2 linked regions of the Struthio camelus genome follow. The protein of the gene in region 2 binds, or shares a complex with, the protein of the main gene of each other region. Links are inferred from orthologs where the notes say so. Each region holds a gene or a part of one and is shown on either strand. Other genes may lie near its edges.

What was found.
Region 1: the proteins of AAGAB (region 2) and AP1S3 are in contact, whole or in part, in a crystal structure (PDB 9DDT), measured with the Homo sapiens proteins. The link is inferred for Struthio camelus from reciprocal best matches to the Homo sapiens genes AAGAB and AP1S3. Residues at the interface, in NP_078942.3 of Homo sapiens: Asn51, Lys52, Tyr53, Tyr54, Glu108, Val109, Met110, Ile111, Gln128, Ile132, Gly135, Phe136, Glu137, Asp151, Phe153, Pro154, Glu155, Arg161, Gln164, Ala165, Asn167, Ala168, Asn169, Val170, Met176; in NP_001034658.1 of Homo sapiens: Arg10, Gln11, Lys13, Arg15, Gln37, Leu40, Ser41, Arg61, Tyr62, Ala63, Ser64, His85, Val88, Asp92, Phe95, Val98, Glu100, Leu101, Asp102, Ile104, Phe105, Asn106.

What each region holds. Positions count from the first base shown.
Region 1 is NC_090950.1:12,752,176-12,761,222, forward strand, and holds the start of AP1S3 (AP-1 complex subunit sigma-3), read right to left. Parts: upstream 3,907-9,047; 5' UTR 3,781-3,906; intron 1,250-3,780; 5' UTR 1,214-1,249; coding exon 1,124-1,213; intron 1-1,123. Other genes in the region: WDFY1 (WD repeat and FYVE domain-containing protein 1), read right to left, coding at 6,848-6,907, 7,552-7,660, 8,589-8,719. UniProt on the Homo sapiens protein: Subunit of clathrin-associated adaptor protein complex 1 that plays a role in protein sorting in the late-Golgi/trans-Golgi network (TGN) and/or endosomes.
Region 2 is NC_090953.1:2,582,633-2,592,564, forward strand, and holds the start of AAGAB (alpha- and gamma-adaptin-binding protein p34), read left to right. Parts: upstream 1-5,523; 5' UTR 5,524-5,579; coding exon 5,580-5,652; intron 5,653-9,932. UniProt on the Homo sapiens protein: May be involved in endocytic recycling of growth factor receptors such as EGFR.

The sequences.
Region 1 (9,047 bases), on a different chromosome or scaffold from region 2:
CCTAAGGAACATATAGAATTCTATTTCAGCATCACAGATTTCTGTACTTATCAGCAACACTAGCATATTCAGTAAGCAGCACCAACATTTCAGCAGTTTAAAGCACTAGAGAAGCGTAAAAATTGCATTCTCAAACCATTACAGCCTGTACTGAATTGACAAGGGTACACAAGCGCTTAAAGGGCGTCAAGTAGCATTTCATTCCATTTCCTAGCTGTAGGAAACTAAAGTTTATCTTCCTTTTGGCCTGATCTTAATAAAGCTCCATACAGAATTCTACTTCTATCGGGGGGGGGGGGGGGGGGGAAAAAACCATTGTAGCCCTCTTGCACTCCTTTAGATTAACAGCTATTGGATCCACTGTGTCCTTCCTTATAGCCCCTCAAATCAAAGGCCCCAGTGCCTCTGCGTGGTTTAACCACGCCACCACACATTTCACTGCCCCTCTCCACCTTCCCTCAGTTTCTTTCACTCTTCTCTTTCACCTTGATTATTAAACCTAACCATACTCAGAGCACGCTTTGAAACAGTACGACACGCAGTTGATAAATTCACACAGTAAAACAAGAGAACTACTGTTTTGAAGCAGAAGGACTAAAACATCCCTTGTTTCCTATAAACATACTTATAGGCCCTGCATTTCTCCTCCCTAAAAGGGCTGGACTGAACATAATATACAGCCTTATTTCCCTCTTTTAGATTCTGCTTAAGAGATCTAGTTTTAAATGGAATGTTCCACAGATATCATTTAGACATTTACAACGTTCCTTTACCCTTAGAGAAGTCACCCTGACTTTCTTCAAAACCAGTAAGCACTACTGGCAGCCTTCTGGCTTCCAGATCTTCCCTGCCGATCACCAAGATTAAAAAGACTGGTAGCCACCTCTTAGCTAGGACATAACACAAAGTCAGGGATGAAGAGGTAGCAGCTTTTACCATATTGTTTTCCAACATACAAGGGGTAAAGTGAGCAGAACAACAAGTATGGCTGCATTGCTATGGTGCTTAATGGGATGGAGTCTTGTACCGGAGGGTGCGACAGCAGGGTTTTTCCACAGAGACACTTACCTTCCCTGTCTGCTGCCTCAGACATCCTTAGCTCAGCCATGCAAGACCCGCTCACCTGACACATCAGTAAGCTCAGGCAGCAGTCGAGGTGTGCTTCAAGAGCTCCCATCACCCATCTGAAGGGGTCAAACTCCAACACAGACATGCTGCTGCAGAGGACACCTGGAGAAGGAGCCACAAACTAAGAGAGAAAGAAGGAGAAATATAATGAGAATGGAGATAAGAAAGGATAGTGACTACAACAGAAAAATAGCACTAGCTTAGCAGCAGCAAGGAACATTGGCAAGCAGTGCTGGCTTCCGATCAGCGGCATGGAGAGTGAGCTTCAGCTCATGACCGCTCTTAAGAGCTTTGAGAGATACATGCATATAAGTATTGATAGTAGCTCATTTTAAACTCAAAACCTAGGGAAAACAGGCTGTGGAAAGGAAAATTGATAGAGATACACAAGGGCCATGGAATCTTTTTTATTTGAAAGACAAAAATAATAAAGTTAGGAGCAGGTTTAACCCTATTCTGTGTCTTCCCCTATAAACAAGGTAAAAGCAAGAAAAGGGTGTACCTCCTCAACATTTGTTATTGCAAATCAGTGTTTACTGAAGAACACGCCAATATACTTCAGAAGAAGAATGGAAAGACCAAGCATAAAAACACAGAAGGGAAATCCCACAGTCAACCTGTGTTTCTAACATGAGTTGATCTTGGTTTGGGGCTGGATAAAAGCTAGGGAATACCTAAGCCTCTAGCTCTCACAGAAAGCATGATTCACATCGTACCAGGGCCTTTGCAAACAAAAATTAAGAACACTACATAATTCAGTTATGACACAGCTAGACATGAGGCAACCCATGCTATCTGTATGACAGAGCAATCGGGAAAGAATGGACCAACTATTCCATATACAAGCCAGCCAATCCCACCTAGGTCACTGTAATTACATGGAGTCTAAATTAAAGAATCTGGCTCAAATTCTCTGGGCAAGGGCAGATTATACAGCAAAACTGTTAAGAGATCTAGGGTACACAGATACATTGGTGGGCAATTAGTCTAGCAACACTAAGCTACATGTATGTTGTGGGGGGAGGAGGAAGTCTCATGATATGCAAGCAAAAAGCAAAGTTTCTAAGGATCTCATATTTTGGTTTATTTTATAGAATATTTTTATATTTGATTTTATTTTAAAAAGGAAAAATTGTAGATTACTGATATTTATTATTTTAAAACTACTTTCTCTCATTTTACAAGTGATCAAAGTAGTTGAATTAGTTCAACTATTAGCTTCTTTTGCATATTTGTATTTAGTAGATTATATAATGCTACCTACAGACCATGCCCTTACTTCCTCTGAAGTAAGAAAAACATTTGTGGGATCATCTGGTTGCAGTTGCCTAGGGTTTGATAGAAGGCTGCTCTGGATAAATCCATGCAATTGCCATTCTCTTTATATTCATGAGAGAAGCAGATAAAGCTTCCAAAGGTTAAATCTTAATTTACTGAAAGATGTTTAGTTAATGACAAAAAAAAGCCATGCTAAGCAAGCAGAAATTCATTCTTCTGTAGATTTTGATCGTGGTATTTCATTGTTAGCCAAGTCATTCACAACCGAGACTTCCAAATTTACTCATAAAAAAAGCCTTGGAGAGCTTTCCCTTTAAAGAATGTATTTGTAAGTTTGATCAACATAAAAAAAAAAAAATTGGTCCCTTTCTTGAATCCAACTTATTCCTAGTCTGTCCATTGACCAAGTTCAACACCACACTAGAAAGGCATTGCCAAGACCTGCCACACAGCTTAACTGAAACTTAGATTCTAAGTTTGCAACACCAGGAATGTTAAGACCCTTACACCGGTCAGCTATGCATTCTCACTTAGAAAAACCAACCCACGTGTCCCAGCATTTCCACTACGAGAACACTGTTTAAGTTCTCAAACTTAAGATATGAAGCTTAGGTTAGATTTAAATTATGCCATAAGATGATCTTCCCAGACCTCTAAATAAGCTTTTCTGCCTACGAATCAGTGAGAGATTGATTTCACAGTCAATTTTTTGTTGGAACTAGAGAACAGGGCATTTGCTTTGGGATAGGTGAGAAGTTTAGTTTTTTGAAATCTATCAAAATTAGATAGGTCTTGATAAAAATCCATTACAATATTATACTACATAAGCTACTCAGCCACTCATGAGAGGATGAAAGTTTATGAAACCCTTTCAGATTGAGACTATTGCCCCTTCCCTATTAATATGCAAATATTCAGGCATTCCAAATATCACAAAGTTGGCAAATTCTGTCTTTGAGCGTGAATGCTGTGAGCAATTGTTAGGTATAGGGATACTTTGCTGCTCGTCCTTATCCTTTCCTCTCTGTGAAAGTGCTATGAGACAAATGTAACCACCTCCTGCGACTGCAGTTTGCATCCTCTGGGTACATCATAGAGTAGATTCTGCCCCTCTCATCCAACACCAGGGAGGTACTTCTCTAATACCTCAGGCTGCTCCGTGCGATTTCAGGCAAGCAAGTTTATCTTCTGATACCCTGCATTGTAAGAACCATTGCAGAGCTCAGAAAAGTAACCAGATAACCAGAGAAGTTAAAATGAGCTGGCAAGTAGGATAGAAAGGATAGGAAGCACAGCTGTATGTCTCCATCTGCAGGTAGTTACTGTTCAGTAAACAAGGTTACAACCACACAGCAGTTGTTTGTCTCAACTCACTGGCTCATCACGGGCCTTTCACCCTAGCGCTGTGGCTCACTCAGCTCCAGGCAGCAGGTCTGACAAACCCTTCCTGCAACCTAGAATTTGGATGCGGGCAGCCTAAAGAAGGAGCGAGAGCATAGAATGGGGGTTGTTCAGTAACAAAGAAAAGATGGGTCATCCAAATAGACTAAGTGAATATCAAGAAATAGTTTATTGTACATGTAATCAAAATTAAAAAAACAAAACCTCAGACAAGAGGGAGCAAGGGACAGATTTATCTAGCATCTCTTAACTATGCAGGGTACAGAAATACAACTAGTAAAGAATTAGCACATATCAGTACCCTTTGCTCCCCTTCCCTGCCCCAATGGAAGAGGTTATACAAGCAAGATTAGTAATGCTTCAAATCAAGCTTCCTCAGTAATTGCACACTTGACCTGACATAGTGGAAGTACGTTCAGTTTCTTGACAGAGTATGCACCTTCAAAACAGTTGTTTAAAACAAAACAGTATCTCTTTAGTGGTTTGTAAGCATTACTCATTCAATACCAAGAGTATACTTAAGTGACTAATGACTTCTGGCAGCCATAATTATCTTGTTATACCCAAACTGACACTATCTTTAAGTATAGCAATTATAGAAAATAGATTCATTAGGTTTACCAATATGTAGTAGAGAATATATTATCTAGTGGCAAAACCTTAATGTAAGATAAGTGGCTGTCAAAAAGCAGAGGAAGTATTCACAAGGAAGGGGGACAGGGAGTTCCATGCTGAGCAGGGAGCATGTTGACTAACCAGAACTAAAAAAGCTGACGTTCAGGAGTGTTAGCTGCTAAAGAGTTACACCTCAGTGTCATTGGTGTAAGAAGAGTTTCAGATCACCTGGTTTGAAAAATATGCTATTCTTACCACATCTACATCAATCTCCCAGTTTAACACATGACCCTAGATCCTCCTCACCACAGCACAGTATCTTGAGCAGCTCTAGCTGCATAAGCCTGTTCTGCAAGGAAGAGGAGGCTTCTGTTCTCTTCCAAAGCTAGATAGGAAGAAGTCTGAGAGCATTATCAGCATGCATTTACCCCTTCAAGCACTCAGTTTCCTTCTCAATTTACAGAGGTGGAGGCTTTCAGAGCAGTAACCTAACTTTTTTCCCCAAACACAGGCTGATTTTTCTCTCAGTAGCTTAGAAACAAGCCTTCACAAAAAAACCTAAGCTATACAGCATGTAACAAGATGAATGAAATCAGTGTGACAAGTGCTAAATCCCAAATTGAGGGCAATACAAGTTTTGTTATTCCCACAAAAGAGGGATTTGGGTTTTTTTCCCCACTGTCTCAGTAAGCCTAGCAAATTAACAGACTCTTAGCAATACTTCAGGAAATGCCCATAGAAACGTAGACAAAGCCAGATCCAAGATAACAGTAACTAACATATTCTGGATTCTAATGCCCTTGTTGGAGACTATCAGCTTTTTGGCTTAAAATTGAAATGGATCATGATGTATTAACTATACAGCAATCTTCATATATTAGCTACAACATGGTCCAACACAGAATATTAACGTCAAATCACGCAATTAGGACTTGATTTCACTTACAGTCATAGCACCACTTCCTTGTTGCTGTATTAAAGACCGTTTAACCCTTTAGTCCTCTGCCAGAAAGAGCCCATTACCTTTGACAGTTATGCACCATCACCTACTCTGGGCCAGCTGACCCACTCAAGTTTTTTCTGTCCTCACAGTAAGCACCTGCTTTCAGAAAGCCTGAAAAGCTCCCAACTTAAACTCTGTGCCATTGCCTTGGCTTTCAAAAGGTTTCAAAATAAGTTTTCCTTACAGTGTTCAAATGTAAGATTCATAAAACTGACAGACCAATTTATTGGCAATACCGCACTAGCTATTCCCTGTAAGTGCCACTTACACACTCATAGAAGCCTTCTAGCTCTTCTTCATACTTCTCAGCTTTGAAATGGGAACGGATCAATATAGATATCTCAGGATTAACGGACCTGTGTGTGCACGTTGGTGGGGGGGGGAGAGGGGGGAAAGCAGCTTTTCTGTACCTCAGTAATTATTGCTTTGGAAAGCCTCAGTATTTATCAGTTTTAAGCAACACCAAGGCAGTATTTAGATTTATGCTGCACTTTAGCAGAGACAGGTTCCTTACCATTAAAGGATCATCAGCCTTTCCACAGGAAAAGGTCTCTATACTTTAGCTGGCCATTTTTTCTTAGCCATTACACTTAACAAGGCAGATTTGCTTAGCTTCCCATTCTAACAGCATTATAGAGCTGTCAAAGCATATGGTTCATACCTACAGCCTGTCTTTAAACTAGAGTAGCTGAGCTGTACGTTTTAATAAGACATAGAAGTTTGTTACTTATGCTAAAATTCTACTTAAGAGCTTGGAATTGTCTGAAGATTTGCCAGCTACCTAAACAGAATAGGTGTCCCACAAAAGTGATTTCACTAATAACTGAACTTGAAGACAAACACTACAAGAAAGCCAATAAAGGAAATCTTGCATGATCAAAGGTTCTTTTACCATCTCATCTGAAAGAAGCTACCTGCCACTTGAAAAGTATTTCCTCCTTCCATAGGAATAACCAATATACCTTTTGGAGGCAGTTTAGACAGCGACTGCTCAAAAGTATTTCTGCAGAACTGCTTTTTGGAAGAGAGAATAAGTTATTTTACTATTTGCACAAATTGAATTTACTAAACTTGTTTTACTCTTTCAGCTACAAGGTATCTATATAAGATGTATCAGCAGAGAAAGCACACTGTTAACACTACATGTTTAACCAAGTTAACAACAGGTCCTTTCATCAAGGTGTCACGTTGCAGGTAAGCCATTTTACGTTAGTCCAAGAGGCTGTGAAACTGCATTTCCGCACCAAGGAGATTCCTGTTGGGCCCAACAGAAAAGCTGTACTGCACAAAGGGGACTGTCCATCCTGGAACAGCAGCAGAAGAATCAAGCAACCAGTGTTTGCGGTAGTATTCTTAAGAAGGATTTCATTCATTTGGTGCATATTGCTGTACATAAGGTGCATAAACCTCTCTGGCGGGAGATCAGCGTGAAGAGAAGCCAGTTGCAAGGCTGCAACCGACTACTGGCGTCATGTCCCAAATCTAGAAGAAAATATTGCAGAGAATTATACAGAAATACCACTTATGTTTCAGAATATTGCTATAACAAGCATAGAAGCAAGCAATGACCTCCCTGGACATAAGGTAACAAATCCTATTTAAATTAGACTTAACAGAAAAAGAGGTAAAGAGTTGTACCAGTCTTGCAAACCAACAGCCAAACTTCAGATTCAAGAGATTCTTGTAGCAGTGCTCTGCAGGTTTGTTCAACAACAACAAAAAAAACCATTCCCATTTCCCTGTCACTGCCCCATAACCAGGGCTTTTCACCGCACTGCTCCAAGAAGTCAGGGAGCTCAGATTCAAAGGAGCCTACATATATTATCACGTGTCCGTTTCTAAGGCCACTAGCAGATACAGCCACTGTTGATGCCTGCTTCATTTGTCCAGAGGACACCAAAAGTAACTGGCTCTGACAGCTAGATTAAACCATGCAGTGGAGTTGCAGGTTATTTCCATAATCAGTGCAAGAAGAACAAACAGCGTGCAACAAATATGATTCTTGCTGCTCACAGCAGTTAGCTTTGTAGCTACAGCTGTCAAAAAGGGAAAAAGTATATACAAACATCAATCATTAGGAAACTAAGAGTATCTTCAATAAACATTGGAAAGAGGTACATGAATACCTTCACAATCCGGTCACTTCCACAGGTGACCATTAACCCTCTGGAGAAGTCCATGGACATGTGTGAAATGTTGTGCTTTCCTTCATGAAAGGTTGCCAAGGAAGTACGGCTATAAGAAAACAGTTCAAATGAAAGCCAGCTATTAGATGAAGCTGCCTGGCCTCATTATAACAGTGTGAAATGAACTCTCAAAAAAAATTAAGTTGCTTGAATACTAATGAATCAGCCCCAAGAACAGCACTGCCATCTAAAAGGGGATGGATTTGAGTTAGCAAGTCATGCTAAATCACTGCTTGTGCAGTTATACGGGTGAGAGATTGCCTAGCCTTCCCCAATTTGAGTATTAATAGATTTAGAGCAGAAGTAGAACACAGTTTGAGTAAAAAACTGTACTCTTGGTTATAAAGTCAAGGTCAGCTACATTTTTCCTTTCCCACAAGGGATAAACAATGGCACAGCATCTCTCCCCTCCCCTCTTTTTTTAAAATAAAAAATGGTCATTTGATTACTTCAGTCCTTTAGTGCTCCAAGTTTCCCCTCCCCTCTTTTTTTAAAATAAAAAATGGTCATTTGATTACTTCAGTCCTTTAGTGCTCCAAGTTTCCAAGAAGGTGACAGAACACTGAACAGGAAGTGCTCTTCATATTAAGATAATCAAAGGGGTTCCTTCATCACTAGAATAGTTTAATGAGACAGTAAACAATGTTGAACAGTTTGCTTGCACAGGAAAATAGTGCTGGCCTCTGAAGAGCACACAGAGTAGTAGTCTGGATCTGGGGTTATGGGGAAGACAACAAACCAGATTGGATTAAAAAAAAAAAAAGTGTAACACCACATCTGATCTAAACGGGCTTGCAGAGCCAGTTTAGGGATCTCTGCGCCAGAGTGTATTGGGCACCCAGGGCAAGGGTGGCCTGTTAGTACAGGTTCAGCTTGGCATGTTTGTGTAGCACTGTGCATGGACACAGAGCCAACACAAGTGTTTCTGTACCTCATCAGCATTGCTTTATAAAACAGACACCCTTCTTAGTACTCACTCTTCATCCTTGATTGACTCAAAGCAGGAATCACAGACACGGACCTGAAACTCAAATCCCATGATAGGGTAGCTCGACCGTTTGGTACTGCACTTGCCACACACTGCTTGGCCACATTTTCTGCAGTGATGCTTGAGAGAGAGAAGAAAAACCCAACAAAAATAATCACTACACTGTGCCATTTGTCTTGCTGAATGTTTTTTAAATAGCAGCCTGTTAAGAAGCCTTCTTTCCCTGCCCATCCCCTCCTCATTGTACTAGTTTCTTTGGGGAGCAGGAGAAAGAAGGGTTGGGTGAGCATCTAAGGAAATAAGAGTCCAGAAAAGCTAGAAAGATATGACAAGAGCATTTGTGTCCACCCAGTCCTTCCAAGAAGGAAACTGTTTGGAAAGCTTCCAGATTGTAGCACAGTTAAGAGCAGGGCCATCACTGCTTCAGTGAACTGGAGCCTCTCTACAC
Region 2 (9,932 bases):
GATTTCTTTAAACCTATGTACTTGGATAAACGCTCTTCAAATGGAAAGCTATTCAGTACAGACTCCTTTATAGTGGAAAGGAATTTAAAAAAGTATGCTTAAATAAAAAAAACTGTTTATAGTTGCAATTGAGGAAAAGATAGGAACTGAGGAATTGTAGGTGATAACTTCCCAGCTGGATTTCACAACTATTTAATAATAAAAGCTTTTTATGTTGGCATGCCAGGCATGTAGAACAGCTGGCAGAACAGCCCTGTTTGTCATTTTCTATATAATGGGAAATTAGGGCTAGCTTGTGTATCACTGGATATGCATTTCCAAGCAGATGCCATAGATACCAGACAAAAAAAAGAGGAAGTCATGGCAGGGCGTAGTATGCATCCCACTCTAAATTAAGCTCACTGATGCACATAGAGTTGAAAGACCATAAATAATAGAGACTAAGAGTAGCTGAACTCTGACCATTTCTTCAAAATACAAGGGTATACATACAGGATGGGATTGGAATACTCTGTGGAAAACTTGAACCTCTTGCTTTCAAAACACTAACAAGTATCATTCTTTTCTATTCAAAAACTTAAGGGTGCCATGGGTACTCCGTTCAACAAATTCCAAAGTTCTTATTCTTTGAAAATTATAAGTCATTTCCTAAACAATAAGCATTTTACACATTAAAAAGATGACTACTTTTTCAATACAATCCTACAGAATTTCATTCTCAGTTTTTTAAAAGATGAAATTTGTGCACGTTTAAAATCTGGGATTTTATTACACCTTACCCACCATTTCAAGGAAAAGAGATATTTTAATGCTATTTGATATTGAATTTTTTTTGTTTAAAAAAAAAAAAAGAGTCAGCAATGTAAATGCCAGGCTGTAACTCATTTTGGTTATACCATTTCAAGTAGCTTCAATCCATACCTAGTTATGGCACTGGCACAACAGAGAACCACCAAGATTCTCTCAAAGATCCCTTTAATTTAAACAATAACCCCAAATTGTGACAATGTGTATTTTTCAAATGAACTAATTACCTTATCTGTTTTTAAAAAAAAATTGATTAAAGCACCTTGAACTGACCAATCAAAATTCAGTTTAGAATAAAAAGCAAGAAATACTTCAAATCCAAACATTTTAAGGCGTAACGTAATTGTGTAAGGGTTTCAGTTATGAAAGACAGTGAAACAGATTGCAAGGAGGAAAGCTGTATTTATCATAGATGTGACCACCCCATACACAAAGGGAAGACTTTTCACCTAAAAGATATGGCAAGGTGTGGGAAAGAAAGAAAATTACTGTCAGTCTCAAATAATGCAAGTGTTTATATCTGTGCTCATGCTATTCCAGTATATTGTTCCATGTATTTCAAAGGGATCGCTTACAGAAGCGGTTAAGCATATAGTATTTGCAGGACTGGGATCCTTAACTTACTTGTGGAAGAAAAAAAGAACGGAAGGCTTCTTTCTGGGGGTGCCCATGATGGTACAGACTTCCTTCCTACCTTTGACTTTATGCTGACTGTGAGCCAGGGAGAAGGCTCCTGTCTCAGTTCTCATTCTACTGAGAACTTTCTAACACATTCACTCACCGGATGATATGAGCCAAAACTGAACCCCTGGAGAGTGAGAACATAACACCGCAGAATTAACTGATAACCTGCAAGACCCCGGTCTACACACTGAATATCGTTTATGCCAAAGTACTGTGTTACTTCAAACCTGTGAAGGTTGAGAAACACGTGGTGCTGATTTGCTGCATTCCTGGACAGTCAGGTGTTCCACAGGCACTCGTGGCAGAATAAGTCGTTTCTGAGGAGCACCAAAAGGAAGCTCCCTGATTTAGAAGAAACAAACAACAAGGTTTAAAAGTTACTTTGATTTTACCCATAAAACCCATACTGCTTCCATCTGGCTGAATTTAACAACTATATTTTCATTTAAATGCATGTGCAGCAAAAACCAGAGTTAACAGAAAAGTTGCTGTAGCTACTTGGGACTGCACTTCCTTTTGTATTGCTTTTTAACTTAAAATAAAACAAACTCAAAATAGCAAATGGCCAAAATAAGCTAATCTGGTCAGGTATTCCCATTCACTTCATAAGATTTTGATATCACAGTTGGTCTTGGCATTCATCCCTACAATAAAACAACTGTTTCACTTACCATTTAGAAAGCTGTTTTGAATGTTCTCCTTTATTATCAGTAGAAGAAATAGTTAACACTTGTCTGTTTATAGCATTTAAATAGTTTTCAGCATGTTTCTGTTAGAGAAAAAAGTTTAGACTATTAAAAAAGGTGTTAGGGACACTAAACCTAACTCAGTTAACTTAGCCATCTAGATCTTTCACTTGAGTGAAAAGTCAATAGGTCCTATGCCTCTATCAGACTAAAGCAAAACTTTGCTTATGATATGAGGCGCTAGATCAATTAATTCTGACCCCCCTCCCCCTCAAAAAAGGAAATCAGCACTCTAAACTATTATGTCTGATGAACCCCATCATTTGCTAGTTGGAAAGGGAACTTGCAGGATGACAAACATAAGGCCCCGTGCACTCTCAGCGACCTACTGACAGGTCTCAGACTGAAGCATCTTCCTGATCCATTTCATTTTACTTACTCTCAGCCCAGATTCAGTTCTTTCAATTGCTGTTTCCAGGTTACCAATATCCACAGTTTCTAGTTTTCCTTTCAAGTTGATATTTTTCACTTTATCTTTAAGCTTGTGAAGGTCTTTTTGGACCTAAAAAGCAAGTTATTACAATAATCACACCTATAACCAAAAACCATAGGTTTATACAGCAGGGTTTAATTCAAATAAAATGCTTCCTAAATACAGGAAAGAAAAATTTCCTGTACTTCCGTACTCTTACAAATGAGAGCGAGAAGAACAGACAGTCAACGACTTTTAAAGCCAATGATTAGTAGAAAACCTGAACAAAGAAGTTCATTTTAAAATAAATCTTGTAAAGCAATGGCAGCAGACTTCAAGACTGGGGTCCTTTTGCAAGGAGTGTTCTTCCCTTACGTTTCAAATATCTTGGCATAGATGGCTTAACTATGCAGGAAGAACAGAAGCACTACCAAAGGCTTTTGAAAGGAACAAGTAGCTTGAGAGGAGATCATGTCTGTCCATGTCAAAAACATATATTTATACTGTGGCAACCAAACAACTTCAAGGTCCCCTTAGGCTAAGAACTGTAAAATTTATAAAGTCCTGGTCATTATCCAAAATTCACAACGAGAACACACAAAACAAAATGAAATCTTAATGGCAGACAAAATTCTCCAAACCCCATTTTCTTGGGTTTTGTGTTGTCCCCAGAAGTTTCCAGGAACACTGTTGATATCAAGTGCTCTTTTTTGTTGTGCCACATAGAAAACAATTCTGCTAGATCCCTGAAAAAGATCAAATAAAAAAACCTTAAAGTCAGATCTTGGGTGCATTTTCTTCCTTTTAAGAAAAGTAGCAGCAGCCTAGAGACAATTGCCTTTCTTCATATGTCAAAGACACCTCTCAGTTTAACTCAGTAGTTACTACAGGCAGAATCTCTACTCTTTTTTGCAAGCTTGTTAAGAAGGAACTGAACTTCACAGATCAATTGAGCAGTAGAAAACCTCTAACATCACTTGCTTTATTAACTATTATAGCGTTATGCATTCTCGCAAGCACCTTAAAGAAAAGCATAGACACTCATGTTGCTTAGAAACAGAAAAGACAACCCAATTTAATTCCATTTGCATGGTATGGTGCTCCAAGAGCACAGGGTTTTTTGATTCTTAGTCAGTATCCGTTTCAACTAATACTGAAAACTGAAGCTACTGATACTCCAACCAACTACAGCTTGCAATATTAGTTTGATAGATTCTGCTCACGCTCACATCCCTCTAGTCTGCAGGGAAAATGACTTATTTCTTTGCAAGTTCTGCAAAGATAACTTCAGTCTCAGATGCATGAAGATGCCCTCTTGACAAGTACCTCCCAGAACTACAGAATGGTTTCTGCATACCACAAACTATCATCCAATGTTTCAGTTCTGGACTTCACTGTTCCTTTCTATAAACAGCTAGCTTGTGAATACGTTCCTGGCCACTTTACCTTCTCACATCACCTGTCATTCTGCAGCAGCTCAAAAAAGTGTCAAGAATCAGTAAAATTGCCCTTTCGAGTGAAACATTCGGTTGAAATTTTGCAAAGGGAACGTACACTTCACTGACTTTGCTTTGCCAGTAATAATCCCAATGCTGCTATCAGTGCAAGGGCTTGTCTGGAGACCTTAGGCTCTTGCACCATGGGCATGCTCCAGCTTCACTGCAACCAGTGAACATCTCCAAAGGACTTCCCTTTGAGCAGTCAGGTCCTCAACTTGACAAATTTGAAAACCACAGGGGAAACATTCTATGCAAAAAAGCAATACTAACTGCAACACAACTATTACCATTCAATTATTTTAGGCGTTTGCACAATTTTTTTGGTGGCAGTATTTGAGCATAGAATGAGGTTGACAATTTACAAAGTATTTGCTTACTGTGACAGATTACTTCCCTTTAGAAATAAGTTTGCTACTTCAGGAACACAAACGGGACGTGAAAGAGCAAGATAAAGTATCTGTGGATGCTCTAAGACGACAACCCCACAGCTTAGCTATATTTAGGAACACAATACTGTCAGGGCAAGACCAGCAGTCAAAAGGCATTCCAATAAAGCTTTCAACCTGAAAAGCAACACCACTATTGGATTGCTCAGGTCTACGTTTTCAAAGCCCCATCCAGATCCAGCGACCGAGGAGGTCGCCAGAGCCAACGGGAGCTCCATCGGAGCCTTAGGCACCCGCGGGAGCCTAACCGCCCTTAGATCAACGGCTGAAGACCGCCACGGATGAAATCCAACTGCAAGGATCACAGAGAAACCAACGTGGAAAGGCAAAAAGCGTTTATTTCATACACGGAGCGACGTACAGAGCCACAGAAGGTCTTTGGGGGGCAACAGCTGGATCCGTTTATCCCGCAAAGGAGAGCGGCCGCCCGCCCCCCCCGCGGCGAGGCGGGAACGGCCCCGCCACGACGCCTCACAGCGCCGGGCCGCGACGCCTCGCCTCAGCGCGGGCACGAGGCGGCTCCCGCGCCTCCTCCCGCCGGGCTCGGCCGCAGCCCCCGGCGCGGCGGCTCCGGCGAGGTGCCCGCTCGGGGCTCTGCCCCTCGACCCACCTGCACCAGCGCGGCGGCGGCGACCGCCGCCGCCACCTCCTCCCGCGGCGCCGCTGCCGCCCCCGCGCCGGCCATGGTGGCTGCCACCTCGCCGCGCCCCTAGCAACAGCACGCGCCGGCCGGACCGCACCATCCTCCGCGCGGAGCGGGGGTGGGGAGGGAAGAGTGGAAGGCGCTTTAAACCAGGAGCCGAGCACGCTCTTCTCCGCTTTCCTCCCCGCGCCAGCGAGCTTCTACTGCCCGCTGCCTCCGCTCCGCCGCTGGGCCGGCTCACCCGCCAGCTGGCCGCCGTCCCTCCTCGCTCCCCCCCCCTCTCCCGGAGCCGCGTGGTACAGGCCGGCAGCCGGAAGGGGCGAGGCGGCGGCGGCGGGCGCGATGGCGGCGGCCGGGCCCTACGCGCTGGTGGCCAGCTGCGCCGCCGGCTTCGCGGGCGAGGAGCTCGTCAAACGTGAGTGCCTCGGGCACCCCCCGGCCCGGCCGGGCTCCGCGCCTCGCCCCGGCTCCGGACCCAGGGCTCGGGGGAAGGGGCGGGGGGGGGAAGTGTCCCGCCTCAGGCGCCGCATTTCAACGCCTCCCCTCCAAGGGGGGGGGGGGGGAGTCGGGGCCTCCTTATTTCCTTAAGGAAATACAGCATTGAAAGAGGGTATAAACGTTCAGATTTTGAGAGCAAAGGGCAGCTGGCATCGTCTCTGCACCCGACAGGAGAAAGAGCAAAAGAGGAAACCCCACGCAGCCCCAAGTGTTACCACCTGCTGGCCACTCGCCACATCCTGCGTGAGGGGATGAACTGTCATAACGTACAGCCATGCCGAGCGATTTGAGTTGCCTCGAAACGGAATACAAGTAGTTGTAAAATAAAAATTGCCATACATTAGCAAGTGAGGAATAAGTGGGTTAGACCATGAACTCCTCTGCTGTGGGTCCTGGTCATGGCAGGGAAATGCAACTTGTATTTTGCTAGGACAACCGAGCAGCTCAGACAGCCGCTCGGTCAGAAGTGGCTCGCTAGATCAGACCGAGTGGCTCAGGAACCGAGGCAAGAGAAGGACAGATAGACGAAATATTGGCCCTTTGATTTTGGTTTTTTTTTCTAGTTATGAAGTGAACAAAGTCTTGGACCTTCAGGGCAAGGGTAAATTTCTAAACTCTTTAGTGGGTCTGAGCTCATGCTTTACTATGGCTTGTTTTCATGCCTGTGCCCATTGTCACAATTCAGAAGCACAAAAATGGGAAAGTTCCAAAAAAATTCTCCCTTTCTGAAATTGTCAATGAAACTTTAAAGTGCACTGACTGCATATTGAAGATACAGCGTTCTGTCAGAAGTTGTCTTGCGACCCAGCACCTCTTTTGTGGCCTGAAAAAGGCAATGCATAATATCTGATAACAGGGAAAACTTGAGTGGAATTTCAGTCTTTCTAGAGTCAGGGGGATTCCAGAAAGCTGTTTAGATCTTAGTGCTTCTGCCGCTGTGGCTTCTTAAGTGCAGCCTTGCTTCTTAAGAAACTGCCATGAACAGTGTGATTTGCATACTGACATGTATATCTTAACATTAATGCATGTTAATAATTCCAAACATCAGCACTTTAATGATGCTACAGTTCCATGGGCCCCTGAGTCAATCTAATGGCTTTGTGGATGCTGGAAGTGGGAGGTCTGGTCCCCTTCCTTCCATCTGCACAGCCCCAGCTATTTTCGCCATCTCTGGTGAAAATCTTGTTGAATACTTCTAGAAGAGGGGTTAATCCACTAATCCAGTAGCTAAAAAGCCATAGATAATTCTTACGGATTTATGTTTTGTTGTTTCAGTGCATTAGATCTTATGCAAGAGCCTCGTAAAGCATGGAGCTGACCCAGGGGTTTGACTCAGTCCATCTCGTAAAACCACATTTTGTAGCCAGAATGACAGCATAGGACTACTGTCAAGGGTTAGTCTGTCAAAGCAAAACAGTTAACATTGAAGTTATTTAAGGAGATCATAACAAAGAACAGTAAATTTCTATAAGAACTTATTCTTGGTTGTTGCTTGCTGGTAAAAAAAAAAGTATGGGAAATTGGAAGGAATTATACAAGGTTCCAGTAGGTTGATTATTTTTCTTAGAGAGATCAAGTGAAAATACAAGTGAGCAAAAAGCTGATAGAAATGCTACTTAAGAAAACCTCTGCTTAAGTAGTACTCACTTGGAAATGGCTAGGCTTCTACTGTTTTCCAGTACCAAAATGGAATCTTGCAGGTTATCTTTGCATCCTCAGGTTGGGTTGCTTCACAAAAGGTGGCATTTCTCTCAAAGATTTTAACATCATGTACTGAAAATAAAAACAGTAAGAATTTTAAATTTCTGCTTTGTGTAGCAGGTGAAATTGCCTGTGATCTAGGAGCACAAGTGGAACAAGTTGAAAACCTATTAGGAGGACAAAGTTGTGACTGGCTACAGTTGACCAGACTAAAGGATGTTATTGGGCTGGGGCAAAACACTGGTGGAATATTTGAAACTTGTACTTTAACAGCATGAAAATGTCACACCAATTTAAAGGCACTATTTGGAAGTTTTGTTTGCTAATGCAATTTTGTTCTGCCAGCCAGACCCTTGTATTAGCACCTCTGAGGCAGTACAACATTTTACATGCAACATTTATGGTTGAAATATGCTATAAAATGCTGTATTGCTTGAGATCCATAGACTCGAAACCCACAATTGCTATAACAAACATGAAACAAAGACCTCATCTCTGTTACTACTGCTTTTGTCACTGTGCTACTTGCTTTCACTCCTGATATGTTCTTTTTTCCCCAGCAAACCTGTTCTAAGTCAAGGAAGCTGCCAAGAGCATTTATTGTTAGGAGATGTATGAGAACTTCTCCTGTGACCTACCAGAAGTTTCCAGGGTCATTAGAAGGCTTTTTCCACAATGTTTTCAACCTGTAGAGTAGGAAATGGCTTGAGGATGGGAAGAATGTTGTGGTGCCTTTGCTAGATATTTTTATTCCTTCAAGTTGCTGTGGGCTACCCAAACTGCTTTACTGCAGCAGATGTTGCAGCAAAATGAATCTAGTATGCAATGCACAGGATAGGATTGACCCTTTCTCATAGATATTTGGATCATAGAGATTTGTAATCAGCATAAGATACTTGTTTTATCAGCCAACATTTGTAAAAACTGACTAAATACACAAGCATTCGTAATTGATGCAACCTTTCACTTCTCTGGCATTTTCGCTTGTTCACTGCTTCTCTTCCTCCTTCTCAGCAACACATACAAGTTTAATCTGCATTTCTGAAAAGTTCTTTACTCCTTGTATAATTTGCAGGAGTATTTCTCACGTTGTATTCCACCAGGTGGCTCTCAAGGCACAGAATGCAAGAACTACTCAGTGTACCTACCAACTCAGAGGACATGTGATCTTTTAGGCTATTGTAGAACTGCATTATGTTCTTAGTATTAAATCTGACAAAGAGTAGAAAAGCGGTCAATACTTCAGCCTTTGGAAGAAAAGCCTGCAACAAGGAGGTATTCTAATGATTCTGAACAAACAAAACATTACTAGTGCAGTGGCAGTAAACAGTGTCACAGAAGTACTTAAATATCAGTTGGATGTTAGAGAAAAGGGAACATTGCAGCAAGGAGAGGTGAGAGATCTGCATCTGATTCTTTGATTAACTTTCAGAAAAGAACCAAAAAATATGCTTTTGGCCTTAGTTCTCCTTTCAAAAGGAGATTTGTTGCCTTGCACTTACAAAATACTAAGCCTCTGTATTTCAAAAAGGAAAAAATCAGTAAAATTGAATAAGTAAATATGTTTATGTGAATAAACAGGTAGCTGAAATTCACTTCCCAAAGTGAATGAATTCCGAATTGGTTAGAATTGTGTGATTTATTACACAAGGTACTTGTAAGCAAACAAACTAAAAACACCACGTGATTAATCAGTTTGCTGAAAAACGAAAGCTAGTGAACAACTACCTGGAATTCAAGTTAGCTTTGGAGATGGCATAGGTGAACAGCACCAACGTAGGAGGTAACAGAGGATGGCGCTGGCATGAGCTTAGGCAATGCGTCTGTTTGGTCCCCAGCCTACAATAACTCACTGTAGTTGAGGAAGCTTGTATTTCTCTGCAAAAGAGCTTTTGTGTACAAGTGTAGGACACTGAAACGTGCTATGCCTTAGTTAGTATTCAGCCATTATGGATAAGATTATAAAAGGGCAAATAAAAGTTATTTCAGCATAATAAAAGCCCAGTATTATTAGTTGCAGTATTTCTTAGAGGAACTTGACCTCCAAGTCAATATTTTTGAATGACACTAAGCAATATTCTTCTGTAGCATGATCTTTTCCATATATGCTTTTAGTACTCTAATACTGATGCATGTGGAGTCTGTTTGCATTCCTGTTGTCCAAACAAGCCACTTCTGCTCTCTGAAAAGGCAAGCTAATGAAGTCAGCCCCATAGGCCTGCCTACTGTTGTGGTTAAAGAATGACTCAATTGGTTTTCCAAGCTCTTTGGATGGCAAACCACTGACACTTTCAATGGCTGGGAAACTTAAAAACAAGTAACTTGCTAGAGATAAGTTTAATAAGCCACCTTTTTGCCATGCCAGTTTTCTGGAAGTTCATTCTCTATCCTATGAAAACTTAATGCATTTATTTTCATGAATATTCTCTGAAATTAGGTAAGAAACTGGCTGAATTTATTTTTTGCATTACAATGCAAGTCCTCTTGGAAAGAAAC